2 linked regions of the Xenopus tropicalis genome follow. Each later gene encodes a partner of the first gene's protein in a complex. Links are inferred from orthologs where the notes say so. Each region holds a gene or a part of one and is shown on either strand. Other genes may lie near its edges. The genes, in order: gtf2e2 and polr2f.

Region 1 (3,705 bases):
TTTGATTATAATGGAATCTATGGGAGATGGCCTTCCCTGCATATAAACCAACACTGCTGGGAGGAACAATGTCTATATTATGGAATACATAAGGGCTTAAGATATCTCTTTATAACTTGTGATGTCATCAGTTATTATTGGTGCTCAGTGATGTCATTACAGTGACTTACTGACTTGGTTATTTTACAAAATAATTTACACATATACATATACATATATATATATATATATATATATATATATATATACATATACATATATATATATATATACATATATACACACACACATACATATATATATATATATATATATATATATATATATATATATATATTTAAAAAGTCCAGGCATATGCTGATACAGTGGTACTTAGCTTAACAGAAATAAAAATAGGTTGCAGTTTCACAGTCTGTAAAGCTGCAACCCATATTTGTTTATTTTCTTAAAGGTGTTGCACTAGTTTCATATGGGGGTATGAACCCTTGATTTAGCAAACATCAACTGATATAATTACACATACACACATATACATTATATATACAAATATACCCGGAAACCCCAACATTTCGTAACCAAGTCCTTTGTAAAGGCGATTCCCTTTGACAAAAGGACTTGTAATACTTACTACATAAAGAGCATAATATGTTAACGTACCATTTGCTTCCTTGACTCTTACTTCCAAAAAGGTGTGCAACTATTTATTTTAAAAATATATATTATTCAGGATTTTGCAAAATCAAATTTGAACCACTGTTCTTTATATCATTTCTGTTCACTTTTTGCTATGGTACATTACGTATGTGCCAATTTAGACAAGTTTATAGAAGGTTCAAAAGAAAACAATCTTTATTACATTAAAACAAAAGAAAAAAAGTGGTTTAACCATTTTGTACGTAAAAGTTTTTATGTTGGCTAACAAAAGAAAGAGTTATTTTTGCTATTGAAATAGCACAATTGCCCTTTAAATACAATAAACACAAAACTCATTAAATCAGATGCTGGAGACATATTTATCTGAGCAACAAGGGGATCAGAATGAACAGAATTAAGCAGAGCAAAACCAGCACAATATTCGGCTTCCACAAACTGCCAATCGGTCTGTGTCTGGCAGAGACATGGCAGCTCTAGGATATTTTTTTAGCTAATGTATAGTACATTTGATTCTTTAATACTCCTAAGACAGAAATAAATGGTCTCTTTAACACCCAGAGAATGTAATTCTGGATTTTTGAGTCTGTGAGGGGAAATATTAGGTAACTATCAAGGTTTGGAGTTGATGAGCAGCTAAGGAGATCCTGCAGTGAAGATACTCTGTAAACATCCTTAGTCCAATTGATGCTTTTATGATTTGCCTGGAGCACCATCTGTATAATCTTTCAGCACTCCCGCCAAGTGGTCGTTATGAGTCTTAAACCTCCTTCTCTGTGAAGTAGTTTTCTTCCTCTTCTGCACTGGAATCTAAAATGTGCATTAATAAATTGCGTTAACGCTGCAAATAGCAGAACAAGGCACAGACTATGGAACACGAAGGCAAGTATAAAAACTACTGCAACCCAGAAAACAAATCTCTGCTACCGCGGGCAACTAATCTCCCTGACATGCCTTCCCACTGGCAATAATGTAAACCACCAATGGGAAGGCATACACATCTCTAAATCGCCCAAAGTTTCCTTGCCACTGGGAAGGCTTTTCAGGGAGATTAGTGGCCTGCAGTAGCAGAGATTAATCAACTAATCTCCCCGTGGGACATTAACCTAAGGATGTAAGTGTGGATTAAGGACAATATTCCTATTGTAGAAAAATTGACAGATTGAAAGGTATTTTACACAAATTATAAGGCTCTCTTACAATTTTCTTTGGTCCAGAGTCTTGCATTGAAGAAATTCCCTGCCTTTTTAGGTATTCTTCAATCTTCTCATCGTCCATGGAATCTACTGGGACACTCCTCCATAACTTCTGAAATTCTAAGAATAAGTAAATTCTTAATAGAACACATGCAGGACAACTAAGGTATTTATTCACAGGTGATTTTGAGCTCATCTGAGCTACACCTAGTTCATTCTGCACTCCATCATTAAAACCCATTATATGCACCTACATAAAAGGGCTGAGCTGATATAATGAATGGGACCCACCACAGCACCTATGATCAATGGAGAAAAACAGTGCCATTCAGCTTCTAAAGGTAGGAGTCACAACAAAACATGGATTTTATCTAAAAAGGTTCATATAGTATTCCGACTGGTATTAATTTCTCTCTCTTTGCAGGAGTCATTCAGATGTTTCATGACCTTTTTCTCATCTTAGCACTCATTTGTATTGCTGATGGAGTTTTGCAGCACATAATTTAAAAATAAGATTTTAGATACATTTACATGTACATAAAGTATGCAATATTGCTTACCACAGCTTTTTTGTGTTGGGGGGTGGGAGATTATATATATATATATATATATTTTTTTTTTTTTTTTTTTAAGTAAAGGCAATATTGCTATTACAGTAAAAGGTAGCAACACTAGAGATAAGATGATGAGGTACTTAGGAAGAGATAATGGATTGAGCTCAAGAGCGGTAGGAGTTGATAAATAAGTTATGGTTATTTTTTTATGGTTATCTATTATACAAATATATGCTTATGTCACAAGAAGACCTATAAACTAGAAGGCCTGCATTCTGAGGTGATGCTTTAATCACCATGATTACTATTATATCTAATGGCAAGCAATATGAGACAGAAGTGCTAGAAAGTGATTGGCCTTAGAAAAGAATCAGAGGCTGGTAAGCTGATAGCCTGATTTGCCAAAATAGAACTGCAGTTAACGTGTCCAGTCGAATATATAAACAACCCCAGTTTCTCACTCTATCATAAAATGTATGGGCATGCACAAGTATAACATTTGTGCACTGGTATAGGTGGTAGCGAGTACTGGCGTGTGGGTGCTTGTAGCAGCTGATCAACTCTACTATGTGGTTTAGTTTAAGTGCTGATGACTTCTGATGGTGTCCAAATGTATCATAAAATCATTTCTTGGCAACAGCATTACTTTACATTGAAATAAAATTGGTGGTAAAAACGCAAATCAAAATATTTTGCATTTCAGATTTTCACATCGCATTTTGTCATATCACTAGAAATAAGTGTACAAATTAGGATCTAGAAGCAGCTTGTTCAAATTGCATTTATCAGCCACAATGTAGCATTGTTAAACAAACGAAGGAAGCAGGATCTCTGGAGCCACTCTGTCTGAAGTAAGGGCAAGAGACAAGCTTCTCTGATATCACTCTGAATTTTCCCCTAAACATTAAAATGAAATACATTTGTGAAGTTATCGGCCTAAGCAGTTGGCTGTTTTATCTCTGATATACTGCACCCTGTGCGTAGGGGATAAAGCAGGTAACCCTGTGCTACTGCATTCCTATGAATAGTGAACTATGGCTTTGAGCACTGCAGATCTTATTCATCTGGAATGAATGGAGAGGGAGCGGTACCAGACACAGCTTCAAAGACATATCATTGGCTGGAGAGTGAAAAGCAACATATTTGTTGCACCACAAGTGATCTATATAGAATAAAATGATAATTTAAAGGGGATGATAAACAGGCTGTATATTGCCACAAAGTAGGATTTTCTGTCTCATTTGTCAGTCACCTTGTCACTCCTCCTAAACGCCCTATGTTTATCCATTCTACCAATAATCGTT
Region 2 (4,497 bases), on another chromosome or scaffold:
GGGAATTTCTAATTTGTGTATGTAGCCCACTTTATGAGATTCTGTGGCACTACCTGCTGACTTGTCTTTACTTGGCGCTACAGGAGTCCTGAGCCCCCGCTTACTATGGGGGTTAACAGGGATTTCTCCCTTAAATGGTGTGCCTCCACCCAGGGATGGTGTTGTGTAACTATAATCCACCCCCTGGGAACTTAATAGGTTGCTATGCCCCTCTTGGGACCCACGTACTCCTGGTGTAATACACTCCCTCTTGGAGTTATTCCTTACCAGCTTGGTAGTGGTCCTCTGGGCTTGGCAGATACTCACAGCAGACAACGGTGCAACGGTATATTAGGCAGATTCCTCTCCAGGAGTGGCACATATTATTGATACAGTGTGCAGGGCATATCCCCTTACTACTCATTGAGACTCTTTCTGTTGGACTACTCCACGGTACTCACGCCACGTGCTCCCCTCTAGGTGACCTTCCCGGTACTCGCGTCATGAGGCACCCCCTCCTGGAGCCCTCCCCGGTACTCACGCTAGAAGCCTCACCACAGGGACCCACACCGGTACTCACACTAAGCATCCTCAAATCCAAGCTCCTGGACTAGTGGTGACCTGGTGCACCTTCCCTAGCCACTTGTGGCCCTGCACTCCAGCAGATGTAACGCTGGGAGGTCTTAACCTCACTACCACTCCTGGAGGGGTCATGTCTGCCCATTTTAACCTATGGTGTCCTACATATCACTCCTGGAGTGATCTATTACCAAACTTCTATCTAAACTGTACCTGGGGTACTCCTGCCTGGAGCAGCCCCCAAAATGTCTGCCACTCAGCACATGGCTGCAACCCCTTATATGGGCCTATGCACCACCCTGTGGCCATAACCCTAACTACAGGTATACTCCCTGTTAACTATTTAGCACCCAGTCATCCCAATGTCCCTGATCACCACCCTGTGGCCTATCCTAGGGGTGTCTATCCTAAGGGCCCATTTTTGGTAAACCCCTACATGTATAACAGAAAAACTATGTTAGTGATTTCTCACCATTAACCATGGGAGTGCCAGGCATGAAAAGCTAAGCAGAAGCCCACGATTCTGCTTATAAAGTATATAGTCACATTAATGACCATTAGGTGGGGCTATTCCATACTAGTATAACTACACTATCCTGTCCCTCAGCTACATATATACCCATGCTACAGTCAACATACCCCAAATGCAAACAACATTAAATGTTTATTCTTGCACTAACCATAGTATTCATTATTGCCTATGTGTATATCTATACAAACCATCTCTAACCTTAATAAGCTGTCAGCACGCCAGCCAGCACCGGTCAGTCTGTATAACGAACACGAAACGCTCTCGCAAGTCGCGTCCTGTCTCCATGGGAACCGTACAAGGAAGGAAGTTGAGGGTTTAACGTTTCCGCTTCCTGTCTGTGGCCGTTCGTGACGCCGCAACGAACTTATCCCAGTGTGTGTGTGGGAAAAGCGAGTAGGTTCTGCTCGGTACCTAGAGCCGCTGCCATGTCGGACAACGAGGACAAGTGAGTCGCTTTGTATTGTTACTATAATAAAGGGTGGGGCGGTGATATTCACTGGGCAGGCCGACGGTACGGGCTGGGGGCTTCCTAGCTGCTAGTGCCATGTGGGAATGGCTCATACAGTGTCCCTTCATCTCCTTCCGCCCGGTACTAACACTGTAAGGGAACACTGGCCCCCGATTACAAGAGGGCGGTGTAATTGTTTATAATATATAATATACTGCCGAGTTTAGTCATGAAATCTCATTGTTTATGGACAAATTTTCCAGGTCATGAACCCACAAAGCTGCATAACGGTGTTATTCCCTGTACTGAATTATAAGCACACTCATTTACTAACGGGGGGCAAGTTGGTACCTAGGCGCTAATCCAGCAGGTCAGTGATTATGTTCTGCCATCAGCAGTTACAATAATGACAGCAAATGGTCGCCATGGGTTACTTACCAGCTGCTAATTTGCCCACTATTAGTAAATGAACCCCAAGGATGTTTATGCCAGAATCAAGAATATCTATTTCCAGACTATAATAGTAAATTCGCTTTCATACAGGTGGGGAGACGCTGCAGGGCAGATATGTAGCAGCCATTGCACCAGAATGATTCACTAAAATGCTGATCTTTCTGTGAGGAGTTACAGCTGAGTATTTCTGCCCCTTGGCACCATGTATATGTCTCAGTTCTATGGCCCAGCCACTCTCTGCGTTGCTTCTCATACATCAAATACTGTTTTATTTAAATGTACTCCTAATTATCACACTGCTTTTGGAGCCATGAGGCAGAATGGCAATCAGGTGTGTAGGAACAGGAGCAGGTTCCAATCTCATGGTGCCATATTGATAATAACTTCATCTGACATCCCAGTAATATAAAAAAAAAAAAAAAATTTTTATATATATATATATATATATATATATATATATATATATATATATATATATATATATATATATATATATAGGGAATGAGCAAAGAGCAACCTGTTTGTATGTGCCCATATGTGTGTCAAATACATATATCCCTGCAAACTGGTATCACCTCTGTCCCGGCATTTTTTCTTGATGGCACCATAGGTAATATAACAAATAAATATTTTTGATCTGTTAAATAGCAGCAGCACTTTTATGTACATTGAAATATAAGAGGGCAACATTTAACAGACCTTTTATTCAGATAAAGCTCTACGAAACTGTACCCAGGCCAGTACTCCCTACTTACAAGGGCTGATGCTCACATATCATAGTCATGGCTGTTGCTTGTAATTTGACCAGAAGAAAAAAAGCACAAGGGGTCGCTGTTAGAACTCTGTGCCCAGATTTCTTTCTAACAGAGTGGTCATTGTATAATGGAGGGGGCTCTATTTTCTGTTTTGGATGCTACTGTGACAGTGACTAAATTTGATTAAAACAATTGACTTTGGTGATATATTTAAGATAATTTATAGCAGTGTTGCATATCACTCTTTTATTTTTAATAATCTATAAGGTATTTGTCCATTCCTCTCCCTCCCCCCTGTTTTTTGGTGAATTTAAGTCCAAATGACCAGAGTTTATGGTGTATTTCCCCAGCAGAGGCCTTTTCCATAGTTACAGTAGGACACAACCTGTACAAGGCCTTATTTCCTAACAGCAGTCACATTGAAAAGTTCTACTTTGCATTTTATTACATTGATTATTTATCAACATTCTAGAAAAATATACAGTCCCATGTATTTTATTGCAAGTTACAGGACTGGCTACCATGGATGATACAGTAAGTATCAGTTATCATTATCAACTCAAAGTCTATTTTAAGCACCAAACCCTGACAATGTAGTACAGAAGGGAGGAAATTATGCCAAGAGTTGTTCACTTATGTATTTGTTTTGGTGTGCAGCTTTGATGGAGATGATTTTGATGATGTCGAAGAGGATGAGGGACTTGATGATTTGGACAATGCAGAAGAGGTAGGTGGTGTTCTTTTGTTCCACAACAGCCTGGTTTTTCTTTACTGAAATTGCAATAGTCCAAATAATTATTTATACTAAAAAGCTCAGCGCAAAATGGAAACTTCTAGGTGTTTCATATATATATATATGTATATGTTTTGTTAATACAAAATTTGTGTTCTAATATCTTACTGTTAATGTGGGTAAAGTAGAACTAGAAGACACAGACATTCAATGGACTACAACCAGAAGTTTTCCTTTGTGGTCTCTATGTAACAATTGGTGGGTTTTGTATTGCAGGAAGACCAGGAGAATGTGGCAATTCTTCCAGCTGGGGAAGGCCAGCAGGCCAACCAGAAACGCATCACCACCAATTACATGACAAAATATGAGCGGGCCCGTGTGCTGGGAACTCGTGCCCTGCAAATAGCGTAAGTAAAAGATTATATGTGATGGAAAGAGCACATTTCACCCAGCACTTTCCATGTGGACTAATGTGAACACACCTTCATTGTTACAATAAGAGCCTGTTCCTAAATATCACTTTAAATGAGAAGGAACAGCTAAATCACTAGGGGGTGCCACATGTTAGGCAGCCCCCAGTAATTGTAATTGCTTACCTGATACCCCCAACCGGTACTCCTGCACTGACTCGGGTAAATGCAGGCGAGCAATTATCTTCCTTCCTTCTCCTTTTGCAGTAATCCTGGGGCCCATGCATGCGTTAAAGTTTGGCTTTTCACTCTACTACGCATGCAAGAAGGATGAAGAGGAACACTCATTCGCTTACACCCTGGGCGGTGCAGTTTTCTGCTAACAGGAGTACTGGCTGGGGGTTTCTGTTAAGCTAACATTTTGACACCCCCCAGTGATGATGGTGATTTTGGTGATACTATAATACTATGATTATAGGTTATGTAGCACCGCAGTGCTTTACAGAAATTGTGCTTCAGTCACATCAGTTCCTGCTCAGTGGAGCTTACAGTCTAATTTTATCAGAAACCAATTAGTCTCCCTGTATATTTTTTGAGTATAGGAAGAA

Evidence for each region.
Region 2: gtf2e2 (region 1) and polr2f share a complex: the UniProt entries of both Homo sapiens proteins name them as parts of the TBP-based Pol II pre-initiation complex. The link is inferred for Xenopus tropicalis from reciprocal best matches to the Homo sapiens genes GTF2E2 and POLR2F.

The regions. Positions count from the first base shown.
Region 1 is NC_030677.2:83,811,729-83,815,433, reverse strand, and holds the end of gtf2e2 (transcription initiation factor IIE subunit beta), read right to left. Parts: intron 1,968-3,705; coding exon 1,852-1,967; intron 1,462-1,851; coding exon 1,345-1,461; 3' UTR 680-1,344; downstream 1-679. UniProt on the Homo sapiens protein: Recruits TFIIH to the initiation complex and stimulates the RNA polymerase II C-terminal domain kinase and DNA-dependent ATPase activities of TFIIH. Both TFIIH and TFIIE are required for promoter clearance by RNA polymerase.
Region 2 is NC_030680.2:122,152,706-122,157,202, forward strand, and holds the start of polr2f (DNA-directed RNA polymerases I, II, and III subunit RPABC2), read left to right. Parts: upstream 1-1,423; 5' UTR 1,424-1,515; coding exon 1,516-1,535; intron 1,536-3,403; coding exon 3,404-3,473; intron 3,474-3,755; coding exon 3,756-3,886; intron 3,887-4,497. UniProt on the Homo sapiens protein: DNA-dependent RNA polymerase catalyzes the transcription of DNA into RNA using the four ribonucleoside triphosphates as substrates.